Linked DNA regions of Drosophila melanogaster. The protein of the gene in region 1 interacts with the protein of each later gene in a pairwise test. Each region holds a gene or a part of one and is shown in the gene's direction. Other genes may lie near its edges.

Region 1 (5,578 bases):
AGTGCCCCGTAGCCACTAAGTAGTCGTAGATCAGTAGTAGCAATAGCTGTATGACGTATTTAGTTGCCGTAGGAGACCGATTCCTCCCCTGATACCCGATTTCCGACTTCCGATCCCCACCTGCTCGTCCGCCTGACCCGGCATCTAATGCGGGCAACGAATCAAGGACGACGTGCAACGGATCGGAAAGGATCAGAGATCGGACGGAATCGCATCGCAACGCCATGCAATCGCACACGAATTGCGGATGGCGGATTGATTGAGCTGAACGAACGATACAAGATGCATAAATATTAGGGAATTTTTTATATACGAAATACAAGAAGGAAAACAAAAGAAACAAATGAAAGAAAAGAAGCAACTAAACTAAACTAACGAAAATCGGGTAGAAATCACGTCAAATGTAGATTTTGCGCAATAGACTGACATTTTAGATCAAATTTATTTTCTACACTCTAAAAATGGATTGATAACCGACCAGATGCCCCAAACGAGCCATACCAAATGCAAAGCTCACCCTACTTGCTCGCTATGCTTAAAATATTAAGAATATCATAACTACCAATGTTTCAAGCACCCGACAACCACCCACTACACGCTTCACTTGTTGTTGTACAGCAATTTCTTATAGCATACGACCTATGTATATTTATTTATGAAGATTATGAGAAACCACCACTTGTTGTAGTACATGGCAAAATATAAAGTGCAGCAATGTGCCAAAAAGAACCGAATCGGAGAATTGTACGAAGTGTCCTAAACGACTCTTAATTTTACTTTGCCTCCCGCCTACCACTACCACTAACTTTGAATTGTTGTGTTTAAAATTAAAGACCCTGTCCCCCCTTAAACGAGCACTTTATTAATGAATCGAAATTCAGCGCCATTAAAGCAATAACTTACGGTTAAACAAAACAGCTCGATGTACACCTATATCTCGTTTAACGCTTTTAAGGAGTGTTATAATCAAAATTGTTCATTTCGCACACTCGCCCCCGATCGATCTGAAATCAAAATAAAGTGATTCTTTTTTCAAATTGTGACCGTGGACTAGTTGCACGTGGCTAGTTGCAAATCAAATTAAACTAAAATCGGTTTACTAAGTCGCTAAGCGAAGTATAGGTGTATGATTTAATTATAATCCAGGTTTTGCCATAGCGAAACCATTTTGTATTAGAACGAGAGAACGAAGAAGGCGAAAGACTATTCAATGGTTTTTCCAGTAGAGTAAGTGTGCAGTCCCAATCCCAAGAAACATATTTATATAAACGTGTAGCGTGAGAGGACGCAAATATTTTTTATATGTGTAACCCACACTTTAACAAAATTCAAGTAACCACCCCCGAAAGCGAGGCACTATGAATCCATATGAAATCGGATGGGCCCAGGAGGATAACAAATAAAGGAAATACATATTTATATTAAGTATATTTAACAGAAACAACATGAACAATACCTAGTAATGCCTAGTTAACTAAACGTCGGCTAAGTACACCAACCGTACACTGAAACAAATCCAACACAACACAGTACTATACAATATTATGCCTATGAGAGAAAGAGAAAGGAGGAGCAGAGAAAGTATTCAAATAAAGCTATACGTTTAAGACATGAAAACTGCGAACCGCTTGATCCTGGCGCATTCCCTTGCCATGTCCTTGTCATTCATAACATTTTTCATCTCTTTGTTTGCAGGCGCGGGAACCGACTCAAAAAATCCAAGACAAAGTAACGGCACAGCCCATCCAGGTCAGCACCAACACAAAGAAACAAACTAAACATATCATTTTGCATTACTGTAGCTTCTAATGCCTAAATAAACTATTTTTAAATTGGAAACCAAGTTCAGAGTTATCGATTATATATCGACACGCAAAGCTGTTGCATAACGCGACGTGAGCATTAACAGAATGTTAATGTAACTTAGTGTGACCGGAATGCGCAATATACTGCTTTGGTAATATTTTTTAAAGTTGCTACTGCCATTATAGGTAGTTTAAAAACTGTTTTCTACACTCTTTCTAAATTTGATGCAAAAATTATTAAGATTAAGATTCGTTCTGCGAACGTTCTGCAGTTGCTTCTTTTAACGTGCAACCATAATATATAAGCACACTATGTGGTATATTTTGGTGACTCGGTCTGGCAGCACTGCAGTTGATTAACATAGATAGCAGTGTTTGGTAACTGTAGCCCCGCAAAAAAAAAAACGTGCGCACGTTGTTTGATTTCTGTTTTTGTTTTTGCTGGAAAACTTAGTGAAAATATGACCAAGGTGCAAAAAGAGGTGCGATGCGACCATTGCGGCACAAGCCAAGGGTCCAAGAGTGTTTTTTCAGGTCAGAAGGTGTTCCTGGGCAGGAAAATAACAGACGTACTGGAGACCATCACCCACAGAAGCGTGAGTTGGAAATGGCGGCATTCTGATTTCCCTTCTCGTCATCTAAATCATCCCATCCCATTTCAGATCCCATCATCCTTGCCCATCAAGATATGCTTCGTCTGCACCTCCACATTCATGTCCAGCGCGGCACTAATCGAGAAGGTCCGCGAGACGGTGGACAGGGTACAGGAGCAGCCCGCCAAGAAGACTAAGGTAGCGGAAATAGAGGAGCCATCGACACAGGAAAGCGATAAGAAGGCGGTTAAGGTGCCAAAAAAGAACACCACCCTCCGTCAGCGCAGCAAGTCCATAGCAGCTTTCCCGCCAAGCTTTGTGAATGGAGCTAATACTAATACAGAAATCGAGATCATTAGTGCTTCGCCCAAGAAACTCGATAAGACCCCTAAAAAGCAGATATCTCGACTCTTCGAGGATAATCTTAACGATTCGGTTAAGCTGACGCCCGCCAAAGAGGTGTCGTCTACTAAAAAGGCTTTCCTTAATCTCTTTGGCAACGGCGGCAACGATGCCATCGAAGTACTGACCGAGAGCGAGGAAGAGGAGGACTCGGATAAAGGTCCTATCACCATTAACACAAATAACTTTCAGTGTCCAGAGTGCGAATTTCACGCAAAGTTTCCCAAACCGTACAAGGAGCATCTGCAGAAGGAGCACGGTCTTCAAAGACCACGCATATACCCCTGTACCTTGTGTATTAAGACTTTTGGAGTGCTTAAGACTTTGAAAAATCATTTAAGGGACACTCACTCACGCACTTTTGAAAGCGAGGCTAAGACTAAGGCGAAGGAAAGCAAGGAAAAAGAGGCTAAGTCAGGGGCCAAGAATAAAATTGACGCAAAGGCAAAGGAGACCAATGCTGTGAGTCAAAGGAAGAAGCCAAAAGAAAAAAAGTCCAAAGAGAAAAAGACAGAGATCAAATGTAATGTTGAAACCAAAGTGGTTGACGAAATCGACGACCAAGTGAACAACAAAAAGGGCACAGATAGTGAGGACGCAGACCAGACCCAGGCTACCAAAATCGCCTCCTTTAAAGCGCTAAATGAGTCATTAATGAAGAAAAGGATGTTAGAGAACGTGATCGACTCGGAATATACATTTGCCATCAATGGATCCAGCGCCTCCACTCCCAGGGCGGATTCGAATAATTTTCAGTGCGAGATCTGCGACTGTGAGCTGATGACCGCCAAGCAGATGCAGGAGCACATGAAGACCGTCCACAGCATCGACAAGCCAAAGGTTTTCAAGTGCCACGTCTGCGAGAAGAGTTTGGCTACCAAACAGTCGCTGAAAACGCACATGACTCTACATGCCGACGGTGCTGAAGCGCCGAACTCCAGCAAGCGAAAGATTCTGCAGGACGAGGATGAGGACGTAGACATTCTGGGTACGACTCAGATTGAAAACACGGCCGAGAAGGTTGAAGGACCTAAGAAATCACAACAAAGCCCTACTAAAGCCGCAAAGTTCACCAACCGAAAGATTCTGCAAGAAGAGGATGAGGTTGTGGAAATTGTGGACGCTTTTAAGACTGACAACACCGCGGAGGATGATGAAGGACCCGCAGAAGAAAAGATTATACGATCCAGGAACAACATTCAGCACCAGGTCGATGGAGGCATGATTGCACCTCGGTCGCCAGCTAAAAAGACAAAGAAGACCAGTCACGTAGATCTGTCTGTGTCCACAACCAATGGCAATTCGCCTGCAAAGTCAGAAAAACGAAAAAAACAAGACAAATCTGAGGACACGCTCCCCTCATCTGATGTAGACATAGTGGAAGAAATCAACTACAACGTGCGGCCGCACAAAAAGGCTCGCCTGGAGTCCATTGGTGACTCAACAGCCGACGAGTCGACCCTCAGCTGCGACCGGTGCGGGAAGTTCGTCAAATCGCGTCAACGCTTGGACTCGCACATGGAGAAAAAGCACGCCGCCAAACTACAGTGCACCCTATGCAAGGAAGTCTACCAGAACCAAATGGATTACGTGGCTCACTTCTCGAACTGTGGTTCCGAAGGTGGACTTCCATGCGGCGTAGCCAATTGCAAGAAGGTCTTCACGGAGGCCAACTTCCTATCCTCGCACCTGCGCAAGCGCCACTAGTTGCACTAGACTCCCTTTTATTTTTGTTTTTCATTTCATTCTCTTGACCAATGTAGTTTTACGTTAGCTTATTGCTATGTTAAGTATAATTCTTTGAATTTTCAATGGCTAACTTTGAAAGGGTCTATATAAAGTTGATAAAAGTCGATGAAAACTGCAATTTATAACAAGGTTACTTCATACATTTTTAACTATTATTAAGTTCAATTCAAAAGATAAGTTTAATTTGTATATTAAGACTTTATTATAACCGCATTGGTTACACCACTTGTACTCACCAAGAGTATATAAATTAGCTTGAATGTAATAAACATATTTGTACTGAGCGATGAACTGTTAATAAAAAATGGCAAAAAGCTACGAAATTGCTTGTTTCAATCAGTGGAGAGAAAAAATGACACAATATGAGTTCACTTATACATTTATTTGTCATATTCCCGAAACAAAAACAAAACTAAAATAACGTTTACGCGGAAACCAACCATTAACGATGCATTCGCCGGGGAGAGCAGAAGGATTGAATACAATACCGATGTTAAATCAGGGGAAGCATGAGTTCTCCACGGGAGTTCAACAACGAGGCGGAAATGAAAAACATTTTGTCTAGTTACACTTTTCTACTTAATGTAAACGATGATATTGATGACGGGCTCAAGACGACGCCACTTTGCCGTGAATCTCTGCCTGGGCCACCTTCATCACGTCGAGGGCGCCGCGCTTGATCAGGTCCTCCGCCAGCGTCTTGCCCAGCTGGTTGGCCTTCTCGTAGATGCCCCGACTGTGACAGGCGTGCTGGTAGAGACCGCAGAACAGGTTTTCCACATCCTCAATGAGCACCGAGTGCTGCGGCGTCGGCTGCTCCTCGTCGGCGTAGTCGAACATTTGGACCGTTTTCTGCAGGAACGGGCACTTGGCTGTGGCTGCGTTTCCGTTGTCCTTAGCCGGCGCCTCAAGACCGCTGCCCTGATGCATGGCCGCAAAGGGACACTTGGAGGAAGTTGCAACATTATCCACTTCATCGCCAGCGCTGCTGGCATTACTGGCTCTGCTGCTCGGTGGCGTGGGCAAAAT
Region 2 (6,882 bases), about 19 Mb from region 1:
TTCGCCACCACCACCGGCGTCCACTGAGGATGCCTCACTGGCAAAATCGAGCTGCCGATGTTCCTGTTTCACCTGCAGCTGCAGCACGTTCTTAATGTCCTCCTGCCCCGCTCCATTGTCCTCCAGCTTCGTCCAGCAGAGGTTCTGCTGCTGCTGCTGTTGCTGCAGGGTGCTTTGTATCACAGATGAGTAGGCCACCGTGGTGGGTGTGGCAGCAGCAGACGATCCAGCGCCCGCTTCTTGCCGCCTTTGCACAGGGGATGCCGTCTTGTAGACGATCACCTGGGCCTGCGGTGTGCTGACCACGTCCACCGCATGTAAATTCGTGATGGGCGATCCATCTGCGGAGCTTAGCGCCGGACTGGCATATTGCACCGGATAGGATCCCGCCGGAACTGGCACTGCCAGCGGCACCGGACTGGCATCCTGTTGGTCTACTATCGTTGCCCGATACGGCTGGCCATCCTTCCGCGTCACCTTGACCTTCCGGCCATCAATGGTGTAATAGGTGTCCGGTTCTGTGTCTGCCTCGGCGATCTCCTGTTGCAGTTGCTGGTGGAGCTGCTGCTGTTGCTGCTGCGCCGCTGTCTGTTGTTGCTGCTGCTGCTGTTGCAGTTGGATCAGGTAAATCGAGTCGTTGTAGGCTTTTAATTGCTTTTCCTGCTTAATCTGCTACAGCGCACCGTACATAGATTGAATCGGAATCGGAAAGTGTTTGGTTTGGGATTGATTCGACATAGAGAGGCTAGACTTAGTCTATGCTTTGATGGGTTTATTGGAAGGGATGTTATGTTAGTATGCGATAAATGCGATAGAGCCTGCGGGGTTTTAATAAGTGTGTGTGCTTCCCCAGAAGCTGGCGTAAACCATAATAGAAGAGTGATCTGAAAGCCGAACGTAAAACAAACGAATTCTACTCACCACTTTGTCGGCCACCAGGTTTAGCTGTTGCTGTTGCGCCTGCTGCTGTTGCTGTTGGGCCTGTTGTTGCTGCTGTTGTGCCTGCTGCTGTTGCTGCTGTGCCTGCTGCTGTTGCATGGCCAGGAAGGTGTTCGATATCATGTTCGGCGTGTTCCAGGTCAGCGACGTCGACGTCAGGGCCACCGTTGTGGGCGATGGTGAGGCTCCACTCGACGAGGAGTTCTCCCCGTAATAGTTCGAGGCAACATTGTTGACTACAGCAGCCGCTGCCGCCGACACGGCCGCCTGGTTCTGGAACGAACTGAGCTGCTTGTCCAGCGAACTGGGCAGCTGCAGCTGGCGGTGCGGCGTGCTCACCGCTGACGAGGCATAGTGGGCGGGCTTAGGCTGGACACTGGCCGCCGCCGCATGGTGGTAGATCTGCTGGAATACTGGGTTGTAGCTGCCAATCGGTGACGGAGGCACAAAGCTGCCACCACTGGCGGCCGCCGCATTAAAGCTGGCGATGCTTGCTGCCGTAATGGTGGCCAGGTGTGGATGCTGGAAGTCCTCTGCTGTTCCGCCGGAGCTTCCGGCACTGGCGGGCACGATGCGGTTGTAGGCGTATGACCAGGGACTGGAATTGGGATCCATGTTTGGCTTGGGCTCTTCTACTGCTGATGGCTGGTAACTGAAACAAATAGCAAAACTTTAGTGGTTTTTGAATATAATTAGCGGCTTATATGTAAAGGATTAACTAATTGGAGTTTATTATTGCTCGGATACATTTCCAATGGTCATGTGTTAAGTCTAAAAATCCCGCCCATATTTATCAATTTAGCGGTAGCTTAGATTATAACATATTTATATTGTTATCACAAGTTGCTTGCCATGGCATTCATAATATAGAGGGGAAAAAGGCGCGAATTCAATTAATGTTATTTATGGATCAATAATAATTACTATAAAATTATTGATATTTATATGTGGTCAAACATATTTTGTTTATCTTTTATTGTAAATCAATAAACACATAGTAGAAGTACACTTTAGAATGAAACACTCCAGTTTTGGGGTGTTTGTTCCCCAACTTTTCTGCACTGAAGGGATCCCCCTATTTTTTTCGTATCTTCATTTTTTTTGTATCCCTTTTGGCCACGATGCGCTTGGTTCCCCCTTCAAAAAAATTGGCGTCTGTATTTTTTGCCTTGGCGCTCGGCGGCAAGGAGACCGCATTTTTGAAGTTTCAGCGTCAATGGGTTAATGTGGGTGCTCACTTATGACATTACAATGACGGGGCCATCACATTGGCTGGGATTTATGCTGTTTTTGGCAATGTTTTTCTGCCTGGGAATAGGATTTTTTCCCGTATTTTCCGCTTGTACATATATGTATCCATGCACACAATCACACACACACACACACATACTCACACACACGGGCGTACATGCGTGCGTGTTGGAAGATAGTCACTAACTTTTAGTCGTTATAGAATCGGAACTGTCGGTCTGCTCGGGCCCAGCATTATCTTCACATCGGATCGGCCAGCACAACAACGCTTCAATATGCACGAGCGGATTTTATGTTTAACTAACAGCGAACGTTCTTTTTTTTAGATTCGGTGCATAACTTTTTTGTGGATGAAACAATCTCCAAAATGGCCGCTCTGCTGCCAGTGAAAAACGAACCACTGGCTCAGGTGAATGATGCCACGGTGAACTTGTTCATCGGTTCACTAGTTCGCGCGCCGAGTGTTTATTGTTTGTTTTGCCGTCGTCCTCGCATTTCGTCTTTGTTAATTTCCTCAAAAAGTATACTGCGTCTTGTGTTCTTCGTGGCATAGGTTAGTCAAAAACATAATTAAGTCATGTTGTGTGAACAATTCACCGTGAAATTTGACCAGCAATTATATTCCCATGTGCTATGCAATAGCAACAAGTGTTGTATAATACGCTTTTTATCGGGTCTACAGTCATTACTAGTTAACTTTGTTGTGTATTTACATTTTACGAGCATTTATTAAGGCACATTTGATAAGATATAAACAAATTAATCGTAACTCCTCTGAAGGTTGTGTTTACTGAACTCGCGCGTTTCCTAACACTGATCAATTGGAACTAGTTGATTTCAAAAACCATGAGAACTTTACAAAATCTGAAAACAAAAAAAAAAATAAAATAATTCCAAACTTAAATATTATATTAAATCTAGGTTTTATTAACTATATGTACGGTTCTAAATTATATATGAACGAATCAAGCCACCACCATTACACATTTTGCAACACTAATTGACCAGAAACCCAGTGGAAAATTGACGCTGCTGATATAATTTAAAAGTTTAGTTAAGGAAAAATTAAATGTTCTTACTTTGGTTTTTTCAACATACATTATCATAAACTTGTAGCTTAATAATACAAAATGTAGCTAAATCTTTAACTCGTTATCCGTGATGTTAAGGAATGTTGAATTCGGCTTTGACAAGTAAAATAGTTAACAATGGTTTCTGTTCCTTAAATATTACTAATTTGTATACATTTAAAAGATTTGGCATAATAACTGGTGTAAAAAAATATTTATTTTTTAATATAAAAATCATAACATTAAATTTAAAACCATCGCGTTGCGATATATGTTGCATTATCCAGCACTGTTCGGCTGGAACCAGTTCGATAGCCCGCTGTTTTATGGTTGGTTCACGTACTAATGACAGTCATTTTACGTATTCATTGCTAAAAGAAAACTGAAAAAATACATTTGACCAAGTTTCCGGTTAGTCATCCGCCCACACCGATCTTCAATTAGTCCTAACCGAATCAAAGGAGAGGTGCGTAGTGCCCAATTGTCAATGAATCGGGGGGAATCCGCCAGCAGCTGGCTGCTCCTCTGCGTACGTGTAAATCTGGGTGAGACGCCCACTAAATAGCAATCACAACATTTCCAGAGAGCACATAGCCATGGACTTCGGAGACGATTTCGCTGCCAAGGAGGACGTGGATCCGGCGGCCGAGTTCCTGGCGCGCGAACAGTCAGCTCTCGGGGACTTGGAGGCGGAGATTACGGGTGGATCTGCATCAGCTCCTCCGGCTGCATCCACAGACGAGGGCTTGGGTGAGCTTCTGGGAGGCACCGCCTCCGAAGGCGATCTGCTCTCTGCTGGCGGCACGGGTGGCCTCGAATCCTCCACTGGCAGTTTTGAGGTCATTGGTGGCGAGTCCAATGAACCCGTGGGCATATCCGGTCCGCCGCCGTCGCGGGAAGAGCCCGAAAAGATACGCAAATGGCGCGAAGAGCAAAAGCAACGACTGGAGGAGAAGGACATCGAGGAGGAGCGAAAAAAGGAGGAACTCCGACAGCAGTCCAAGAAGGAGCTGGACGACTGGTTGCGCCAGATTGGCGAGTCCATATCGAAGACCAAACTGGCGTCGCGGAATGCCGAGAAACAAGCCGCCACCCTGGAGAATGGCACCATCGAGCCGGGCACCGAATGGGAGCGCATAGCCAAGCTCTGCGACTTCAATCCCAAGGTGAACAAGGCGGGAAAGGACGTCTCCCGCATGCGATCCATCTACCTGCACCTCAAGCAGAATCCCATCCAGGTGCAGAAGAGCACCTAGGTAGTTTTAATTACGCACTCGCCTAACCACATTGAGTTGAATATGAAAATTATTATTGAAAGTATTCGCTGTATATTCCAATTTATGATACATAAAATATTATTATTGCTGCTATAACATAGCCGCGATCATCGTTTTGTCTAATGAATGCAATAAAGAATGTGCACACAGTTGTCATGCTTTCCTTGACTATCATATACCCCATCACACAAAATAAGAAAAACGACATGAAAAAGTTAGGAAAAAGAACAAATAAAAAATAAAACCAAGGATATGACAACTAAAGTGTTTTTTCGTTCATTTTGTTAATCAAGCAGGGTTGCACATCAAGGGGCTTTAATTACTTCCAGTTTTGTTGTAAATAATATTTATTGCTCTATAAAACGCATTATACAAACCATTTATTATTCTTATCTCTAGTTAGTTATACACATACAACTTGTTTTCATCATATATGTGTGTTGGAAATATCAATGGGTTGGAAATGGAATATGGTTGTGTATGGATTTGCATTCATTAAATGATTATTAAAATAAAGACATACAGACAACTGAGGCAAGTATTTGTCATTGCAGAGCTGGTTTAATGTATGCATTATATGAATGAAATACGCATAAAGAAACCAATTACGATAATGAAAAGTGGATATCAGAAATCATAATTTAATTATTTCCATCGCTTAATAAGGTTTTCTACTTGTTTTGCAGAAATGGCTGAAGTTTCCGCTCAAGATTTGATATCCCAGTTGTCGAAGTCACCCGAAAGCCACAAGAGAAAGGAATATCTGCATTGGGATGACTACTTTATGGCCACCTCACTGCTCTCCGCCAAACGCAGCAAAGATCCCGTCACCCAAGTGGGCGCCTGCATCGTGGATTCCCAGAATCGGATAGTGGCCATTGGATACAATGGGTTCCCTCGCAACTGCAGCGATGACGTGTTTCCGTGGTCAAAAGCTAAGAAAGGCTCGCAGGAATTTGATCCCCTGGAAGACAAGAAGATGTACGTGGTCCACGCGGAGGCCAATGCAATCCTGAACAGCAACGGCATGAGTTTGTCTGGAACTCGACTGTATACCACACTATTTCCGTGCAACGAATGTGCCAAACTCATTATACAGGTAAAACTAATATTAACGAAGGAAGCCGAATATAGGATTTCTGTTCTATTATTTGAAATGCAACTTTAATATTTTCATATGGCAGCTGTATAATTTAGTCGTCCTATTTTGATAAAATGAAAAACGAATTAATATATGGAAAAACAACGGTTGTGTACAAAATTACACCAATATATGATCACAAACATGGAAGCACAATCTTTCCAATAGTTTCACGGCTTCAAAAAGGTTTTAAGTTTTTCGTTAAAACGAAAGGACGACCAAACGGACGGCAGCTTTATGAACTCATCTTCTAAAATTGATCAAGAATATATAGTACATACATATCATAACATATAAATTAACCTATTTGTATTCCAGGTGGGCATATCTCAGGTGCTATATTTGTCCGACAAATATGCCGATAAGCCCACATATCGTGCATCCAAGCGGATGCTGGATGCAGTGGGCGTGGAATATAAGCGACACATCCCCCAGAAAAAAACGATCACCATTGATTTTGACACCTTCCCGGAAGAAGATCCGAATGCATCCCTGGGACTAAACGAACTCCATTTGTAATGTACTAATACAATCTTAGCTATCTTGACAACTTTTAATGTGTTTAAAGTAAATTTGACGTGATCGGACTAAATATGTAGACAAATGATAAATAAATTTAATAGCATGCTAATTAAGTTATACTTAGTTTGGCAGTACTAATATAAATAAAAAAATACAGTTTAACTAAAAAGCAAAACGTAAAACGATGTTCTTTTCTATCTGTGAGTCAGAAAAATGCTTCGGAAAATGAGTTCCCTGTAATCGATATTAAAATCAAAATCCAGTAAATCATTGAATCTGACCACTTCCTTTGACGTTTGTTCAAATATGTTCGTAAAAGTATAGTCAAAATCAAAAGCAGAACTTATCTAGATCCCAAAACGTACATATTCTAACCTAATAGGGAATAAAAAACAATAGTTTTTCGTTGAGTATTGCTCCTTTTTTGCAGAGCATAAACGATTAGACGCTTCATTTTATCCGCACGCAAAGATACTTAAAATGTTTTTTAATTAGTACCCATTTGGGAAGAGTGTTCACTTGCACTAATTGACTTGGCAAACAGAAGACTGTCAGGTGAGACTCTTAGCATGCACAGGTGTCCACCGGAGACCAAAAGCGCCATGGAAGTGCTCTACTCAGGTAAAAGTACATGGTATTTTCATATTGAATCTTGGAATTAAATCCCATAATTCATTCCTAA
Region 3 (4,047 bases), 320 kb from region 1:
ATGCGACACCACCACCACCGGCGCTGGGTTTTCATTTATCGGGTGCGTATGCAGAGCTACTCCTCCTCGGGCACACTTGAAGGGCTTTTGCTGGCTGGGTGCCAAGCCCTCCCTCCAGGTCATTGGGATCTCGTGTTTTATTTTAATTTTTTTTCTTTTGATTGCTAGGCTTATGGATGCATTTGCTGCTGAGCTCCTGACGGGGCGGATATCGATTTTTCCAGCGATTTTCCAGCGCTTATCGTGCCTTTTTTACCAGGTCCCCTGAGACGGCTCCTCTGCGCCACCTCCATCGCCAGCTCCTCGCCAAGGGCACTTAGTGGGTCGTTTTAGCAGGCGGTTATTGCTTTTAATTTGTGTGTAAATATATCTGGCTGCTACGCGGCGTTTCCTGAGCGCTTTGGCCAACTTGCTGTGGCTTTGGAAGACTTGAAGTGACTGAAAGCCGTGCGCATCCCGGAAAATCTTTGCAGCAGCTTTTTCTCTACCATGCGACGCCTGTGATTGGCCCCCGAATGAATGAAAGAAGGGGTGGCGAGTTGGGCGCTGCGGCGGCGCATGTCTTTTCTTGGATGTGGTTTACAGCTGTCGTGCGCTGGCCGAGATTTGAGCAGGCCTTCGGTTTGTTTAAGAGCTTATTGATTTGTCCACTGGGCGCACGTTTTGCTTTAAATTACATAAGCTATTAAAAGCGTGGTACTTACGCTACGCGTCCGAATTCATCTTTGGCCAGATCTGTTTTGCCCTGTCCCATCAACTTCTGGCGGAAGGAGTCCACCTGCGACTTAATTTCCTCCGGGGTGCGTCTGTAATAATTCAATTTTAATGGATAAGATAATTAGCGTGGCTCTATATCTAAAGTTCGTAATTCTACCTTTAAGACTAGCTTGATTAGCTCAAAAAAGGCTTAAATATGGATGATGTTTCACCTATCTAGATTGTTAAATTAGCTAAGGAGTGCTTAGATTTCAGTCCGCTTGCCCGGACATGCGGATGTCTTTCACTCAAAATAATCTCTACAACTGAAATGCACTTTTTTCACCACCAGCCGAGTTCGTGCCACCGGAAGAGTGCTCACATGTGACGCACCGAGCGGGTGGAGGAAGCCCTGCCCGCGTAGGGGTGGCTCGCCAACGGGCTGGGGGTAGTTCAGTGCTCAGTTCGGCGCGTGTGCGTCCGCTCTCTGGCGTGCAGGAGCAGCTACCAGGCGCCAATGTAAACATAAACAGCGAAGGAAGCAACAGCCCCAGGCCGGCGTTATATAACCCGGATTGACATTACATACTGGCATGTAATTGCCCATGTCCCCTGCTCACCCCTGCTTCTCGAGAATGTCCTCCAATTCCAGGCACTTGACTTCGATCTTGCGCTTGCGGTCGTGGTCCAGGATCTCCTTGTTCGGCGGCCGGTTCAGCTGGGCGTCCAGCTTCTTCGTGTCGTCCTCGGCGCGGTAGTCCTTGTCCTTCTTCCCGGGCCGCACACATGCCCAATTCCGCTGCACGTGCCCATTGGTGCCGGAGCCACGGGGCGTGGTCAGGCCAATGCCGTTGTACATGCTGGTCTGCGATGTCCTGCAAATTCCTCTTAACTATCAACGACTCCCGGCGGCCACTGGGTGCTCCACCAACGCTGCAATTGCACCACACGAAAAATCGATTTCAGTTGCAGTGCAAGTGGTGTTCGACTTGTCTGGCTTTCTCACCTCTGTTATATGTCCTGCGGCGCTGCTATCCAAGCGCTGGCTTTACTAGGCTGCCTAACTTTTCAGTAGTTTATTCCTTTTTGTCAAAATATTCGACTAGATATGCGACAATATGCCGCCCTCAGTGTGACCAGATGACAAATGTCGCCTAAATGCTCCCTAGCTGTCAATTCCACAATGAAGCTAACATGAGTGGATCCTGTTCAAAGCAACGAAGTGGATGTTATCAGTGAAGTGAAAATCGGCGAAACGGGCACACTAATAGCTAAACGTAAACAACAATATTACACTTATTTTATCTTAAGAAATATATAGATTTATTAGTCTAAAATCATGAGCGATGCAGAGGAAACAAAAGCAGAAGCCACCACCAAAGTGTTGTTCAAAAAAGCCGGTCGAAAAAACCTAAGGCAACGCAAGAATTCAGACGAAGAAGAAAAGGAGGAACAGTAAGCCGTCAACAATTAGAAATGAATTAAACTAAAGTGTTCATTTCTATACAGATTAACGCTAGATGAGATTAAAGAACGCCAGCGCCTCAGGCAGCGACCCAATGGCGTCAGCCTTGTGGGACTGGCGCTGGGCAAGAAGATCGCGCCAGAAGAGGAGCTGGCCATCAAGGATCCCTTTAATGTGAAGACCGGTGGTCTGGTCAACATGAAGCAGCTGAAATCGGGCAAGATGAAGGAGGCGGACGACGCCTACGACGTGGGCATTGGCACGCAGTTCTCGGCGGAGACGAATAAGCGGGATGAGGACGAGGAGATGATGAAGTACATCGAGCAGGAGCTGCAGAAGCGCAAGGGAGGCGGCACGGAGGACGCAGCAGAGGACGACGGTGATGTAAACAAGTACCTGACCCCCGAGGATGCCGCCCTGTACGCCCTGCCCGACCACCTGAGGCAGTCTTCCTCGCACAGATCGGAGGAGATGTTGTCCAACCAGATGCTCAATGGCATTCCTGAAGTGGACCTGGGCATTGTGGCCAAGATCCGCAACATAGAGGCCACCGAGGAAGCCAAGCAGAAGCTGCTGCAGGACGCCAAGAACAAGAAGGACGGACCCTCGCAATTCGTGCCCACCAACATGGCGGTGAACTTCATGCAACACAATCGATGTGAGTTCCCAAGTGTGAAACGTTTCCGCGGATACTAAACCTTTGTTACTTCCAGTCAACATCGAGGACAACAGCGATCAAAGGAGGCGCAAGCGTGAGGAAAGGGAGGGCAACAAATCCGCACAGCATCAGACGAATCCCAATGGAGTCAAGCGAGCCACAGATGACTACCATTATGATAAGTTTAGGAAGCAGTTCCGCAGATACTAAAGATACGAGTGCCAGCAATAAAATGTACAATTGTTTAGGTTCAGGATTCTGTTTTATTTCTATATATATTTCAATTAAATGTACTTTAAGAATTAACTCATTAATCCATTAATCGGGCCACTTCTGTAAAAATAAAAGCAAACACTTGGTTAGTTATGCTTCACAACGATGAACATATTTGCTTTTATGCTTGCAATCAGTGAGAGACAAAATTAATTTCAAAGCAACGAATGACTGAGGCTCAATGAGATTCCTACTCAAAATATCATCACAATAAAGAAGTTGTCAGTAACTAAAACAGATACACACCTTATAAGAAGTTAGTCCAGAGAATCGGGAAACAATGGCGCAACTGAAATGAATTAAAAAAGAATTGTTAAATAAAGCGCTTTAAGAGAAGCCATTGTTGTTTGAAATGATTTGATCAGTGGGAGATTAAAATTGATTTCATAGCTACAGGTAGCTCAATGAGATTCCTACTCGAAATATCATCAGAGCAGATTACAATTCAAACTACTCCATCCGAAATATACACACCTTGAAGAATTTCATATCCAAGGATCCAGATACGAGCCAGATTGAAAACTGAAACGAAATAAAGTCTTGATTAGCTTGGTTTGGTTGAGTTCAGCTTCCTTGAGCATAATGCTATCAGTGGAGATAAAATTGATTTCATGGTTATTTCAATGAGATTCCTACTCGTAATATCATCAGCTAAGTGTTATACATTAAAATTACAAAATAAAACTTTAATTACCTCTTCGTTTAGCAAGTTAAGCTTCCCATTTAAAGACAGCCTGCGATAGAAGGTAGTATTAGCAAATTGAAAGATTGCTTGTTATTAAAAACTCACCAATTTAGAGCGCTAAAACCTGAAGTATCCAATCTGAAAGAGAAAACTGAAAGAAACTCAGAACCCATTGAGCCCACATTGAAAACCCACACTTAGTTTTTGAGTGGTTTTATTAAACCCAGACAACTTTGAAACGTTCATCCTCGCTCTACCGTGTCAGCTTAG
Region 4 (3,394 bases), on another chromosome or scaffold:
GGCGGCCGGCAAATTGGAGCACGTTGCTCTGCTCTCCTATTCGACGACGGCGGAACTGAAGGTGGACTTCACGCGGGACTACGACCAGGTGCGGCAGGCGGTCAAGAAGGTGGAGCCCGTGGACAAGGCCTGCCTGATGAGCATGCTCAAGGCGGTGGTGTCCATAATGTCGCCGTGGGGCAACCAGAACATCCTGCAGGTGGTTGTCTTTACGGACTGCGGCCTCGGCTTTGGCAACACCTCGATCACGGGCTTCCTGGAGGCCTACGCCGAAAAGGAGTCGGAGCCGGAGTTCGGCTTCCTGAAGACTCTGGCCAACTACAACCTGAATTTCATCTGCCTGGGCCTGCACGGCGATTACTACTTCACCAGGGGATTGGCGGTGTACCAGCAGCTGCTGGACAAGGTCTCACTGAAGGGTGAGCTGCACTCTATTCAAAGATATTCATGTAACTAATGGTGTACCTACGTTTCCAGGCCAGCTCTTCATGACAAAGCCCGCCAAGAGCAGCGATGCAGTCGAGGGAAATCCCAATCCCAACCCGAACCCCAGCCACAAAAGCGAACTGGGCCGCACTACGGTCTTCGAACTAATTGAACGTCTCTGCGAGGCCAGCTACAAGAGTTCGGAGGTGACCCTGAAATGCGGCAGCTACTTCCGCATGGAGGCATCTGTTCTGCTCTGGCCACCGACGGCTCCGTATGAGCAAAAGTCCCACATATTCGGCCGAGAACCCACCATTCGCCACACAGACCAGAAGATTGAGGTGTGTGGCTTCCTGTCCCTTTCGGACATTGGATCACCGGCCACCCTGAGTCGACACTGGGTGCTGCCCAAAGTGGAGCGGGAGAAGAGCGGCAGCAGTCGGAGGTCTGGAAACCTGAGCGCAGCAGCCAAGCCACCGAAGCTCAATCTAGATACCAGCAATCCCAACTACGAGCTGGAGAAGCTGGAAGCCGATATCAAAGAGTTTTACGCCAAGGATTCAAAAGACACGGAGGAAAGTGGCGACGACGATGTGACCATTGTCTTGAAACCCGGCCCCCAGACAGAGCAACAAAAAGAAAACTTGTGCGTCCTCCTTCACGGAGCCCTCAAAATGGAGAACATGGCAGCTCTGGTTCGAGTGGGTGACAAGTGGTACGGATTCATATATGCATTCACCGACAGCAAGAAGAAGTCAAACCTGATGCTGAACATACTTCCACCCGGCACGAACGTGATTCCCTGGCTAGGAGACCTGGAATCGCTGGGCTTCCCCGAGGATTTGGCGCCCGGAGAGACGGCCAGTTTTCCGGTGCGTGCCGACCGCAGATCTTATTCGCAGAGCAGTGTGGTGTGGATACGACAGGCTAGCCTGCAGTCCGACGTCCAGAAGGTACTGCGACACGCCAAGAAGATGCCCGACAAGACGCAGCACTTCTACAAGGAGCTCAATCGCATCCGCCGCGCTGCCCTGGCGCTGGGATTCGTCGAGTTGCTGGAGGCTTTGGCCATGCTGCTGGAGAAGGAGTGCGCCCATCTCAGCCTGAACGGAGCCAGCAACGACTGCACCCTGCAGCTGCAGCACGCGGCTACGGAGTTGCGGAAGACCTCGAACAGAGACATGAAGTCCATGATTGTTCCGCTCCAGAAAGTTGGTGCATCGGATGCGGGCAGCACGGCTGCCACGGCTCCTGCTCCTGCATACATGTATTGAAAATTTTTTATGTCCTTACTTTAAGACTGTGTTTACTTTGTAATACAAATAATCGTAAAAATTTAAATCTTAAAAGTTCGGGCTTTAATGAAAGCGTAACGGTATTTTTCATCTCTGCACTTCACAGCACTGGCCGCTTGGCGTTATCGTTATCGATGACCAAATAATATAGTAACAATAAAAGTCGTAAAAATAATAATGGGAAGTCCAGAATTGCCCTCAGATCCCGGTCAAGAGGGACTTCCAACCCCACCGGTTGACCATCCACGGGGAGGGGTGGAGAGCGAGGATGACGATGATTCGGATGCATACGACGGCTACCAACCACTCGCTTTGGATGAGGAGAACGATGCAGCGGATCCCGAGGAGATGTCCAGGGAGCAGGAGACCCCGTCCGCGGATAATGACGAAGATGTTGACCTGATGACTGCCCCAGTCACCCACGGAGACCCCAACATGCCTGCCATTGAGCCCGCTGACGTGGAAATCGAGAGACAAGTCTGGAGTGAACCAAGACCCAGGGAACTCCAAATGGATCTTGACAAAACTCGAACGGAACAGGTAAGACATTCCGATTTACAATTGCGAGACATGCCAGCAACTTTCATCCCGACACTCCAGATACTCAAAGCGATGTCCACTATAACGTTACCCAACATCACAGTGCCGGATTGGGCCAGAGGAGTGCCCGAGGAGCATTGGAAGCATGAGCTGCTGGACCGGATTAACAACCGGCACCATCCACCCGAACCCTCAACGTCGTCGTCGCGCGAGAGTCATCAGCATTCCAAGAAAGAATAGCGTTTGTGTGTATTTAGAAAAAAAGTTCTCCAATATATGTATAATTTAGAATGATCATAAGAAGTTGCTTGGCGGAGATCTTAGAACACAGCCAGCAGGGCCTGGCCCACAGAATTCACCTTGCTGAAGTTCTTGTCCTGCGGAGTAATGGTAAGTTCCCTCAACTTGTCCATCACATAGTCCACGGACACCACCTGCGCAATGGTCTCTTGGCCGCACGAAGTGGTGGTCAGGTTGCCGATGGCCTGCATGGAACGGTAGCACGCTTCCAAGTCCTTGGCCCACTTGAGCAGCTCCACAATACCGGAGGTGACCACATGACACACCTCCGACTTCGCCACGTCCAGAGTCTGGGAGATTGTGAGGTTCAAATAGAAGGTGGCCACGGCAATTTGCAGATTGGCACTGCCCGTCTTGATGGCTCCCACGAGATCGATGATCTCCGCCAGACGGGACATCACATTTTGCCGGCCGGCGGCGTGGCTCATGATGTTGGCCAGGCAGCGCACCACCATGAGCTGGTTGGGTGCCGAGCCGCTCAATTGAGGGATAACGGTCGCCAGGAAGTTGTGACTGTTGTTCAGGACACTGAAGATGGCTTCATTTCGCACGGCCAGGCGAAGGATGTCCAGCACGGGGAACTGCATGGACGCCGGCCACTTCAGCAGGATGGCCAGAGCTTCCAGGGAGGTCAGATCGAGCTCAGGCGATTGATCGGCGAGTTTGATTACGGCCAACAAGACCTCCTCTCCCACTCTTCCATCAGGTAGGCTTAGTTTGCCATTGAACTCTCTGCCAAAGAGATGTAGGGATTAGTTGGGGATTAGCTGAGAAAATATCTAAACCCACATCATTTTCTCTAGCACCTTCTTGGCATCACAGGTGTCGAAGAT

Evidence for each region.
Region 2: the proteins of indra (region 1) and CG6951 interact in a two-hybrid assay, tested with the Drosophila melanogaster proteins (one large-scale study listed by BioGRID).
Region 3: the proteins of indra (region 1) and CG7974 interact in a two-hybrid assay, tested with the Drosophila melanogaster proteins (one large-scale study listed by BioGRID).
Region 4: the proteins of indra (region 1) and CG14341 interact in a two-hybrid assay, tested with the Drosophila melanogaster proteins (one large-scale study listed by BioGRID).

What each region holds. Positions count from the first base shown.
Region 1 is NT_037436.4:1,338,751-1,344,328, reverse strand, and holds indra (indra), read left to right. Parts: upstream 1-1,925; 5' UTR 1,926-1,937; coding exon 1,938-1,957; exon of another isoform or gene 1,958-2,259; coding exon 2,260-2,401; intron 2,402-2,467; coding exon 2,468-4,507; 3' UTR 4,508-4,869; downstream 4,870-5,578. Other genes in the region: Ptp61F (protein tyrosine phosphatase 61F), read left to right, coding at 1-1; Hmbs (hydroxymethylbilane synthase), read right to left, coding at 5,159-5,578. UniProt on the Drosophila melanogaster protein: Required for rDNA copy number maintenance and non-random sister chromatid segregation (NRSS) following unequal sister chromatid exchange. Binds ribosomal DNA (rDNA) preferentially binding to intergenic spacers (IGS) regions on both X and Y chromosomes.
Region 2 is NT_037436.4:20,238,942-20,245,823, forward strand, and holds CG6951 (uncharacterized protein), read left to right. Parts: upstream 1-2,325; 5' UTR 2,326-2,599; intron 2,600-2,621; exon of another isoform or gene 2,622-2,743; intron 2,744-2,903; exon of another isoform or gene 2,904-2,962; intron 2,963-3,564; exon of another isoform or gene 3,565-3,856; coding exon of another isoform or gene 3,857-4,516; exon of another isoform or gene 4,517-4,794; intron 4,795-5,223; 5' UTR 5,224-5,225; coding exon 5,226-5,636; intron 5,637-5,996; coding exon 5,997-6,197; 3' UTR 6,198-6,371; downstream 6,372-6,882. Other genes in the region: CG17233 (uncharacterized protein), read right to left, coding at 1-672, 922-1,554; Clc (clathrin light chain), read left to right, coding at 3,857-4,516. UniProt on the Drosophila melanogaster protein: Supplies the nucleotide substrate for thymidylate synthetase.
Region 3 is NT_037436.4:1,663,216-1,667,262, forward strand, and holds CG7974 (uncharacterized protein), read left to right. Parts: upstream 1-1,922; 5' UTR 1,923-2,035; coding exon 2,036-2,151; intron 2,152-2,205; coding exon 2,206-2,819; intron 2,820-2,874; coding exon 2,875-3,029; 3' UTR 3,030-3,379; downstream 3,380-4,047. Other genes in the region: Srrm234 (Serine-arginine repetitive matrix 2/3/4), read right to left, coding at 705-806, 1,317-1,555.
Region 4 is NT_033779.5:1,164,662-1,168,055, forward strand, and holds CG14341 (uncharacterized protein), read left to right. Parts: upstream 1-1,844; 5' UTR 1,845-1,898; coding exon 1,899-2,261; intron 2,262-2,321; coding exon 2,322-2,501; 3' UTR 2,502-2,550; downstream 2,551-3,394. Other genes in the region: IntS14 (integrator 14), read left to right, coding at 1-419, 478-1,700; Plap (phospholipase A2 activator protein), read right to left, coding at 2,582-3,293, 3,351-3,394.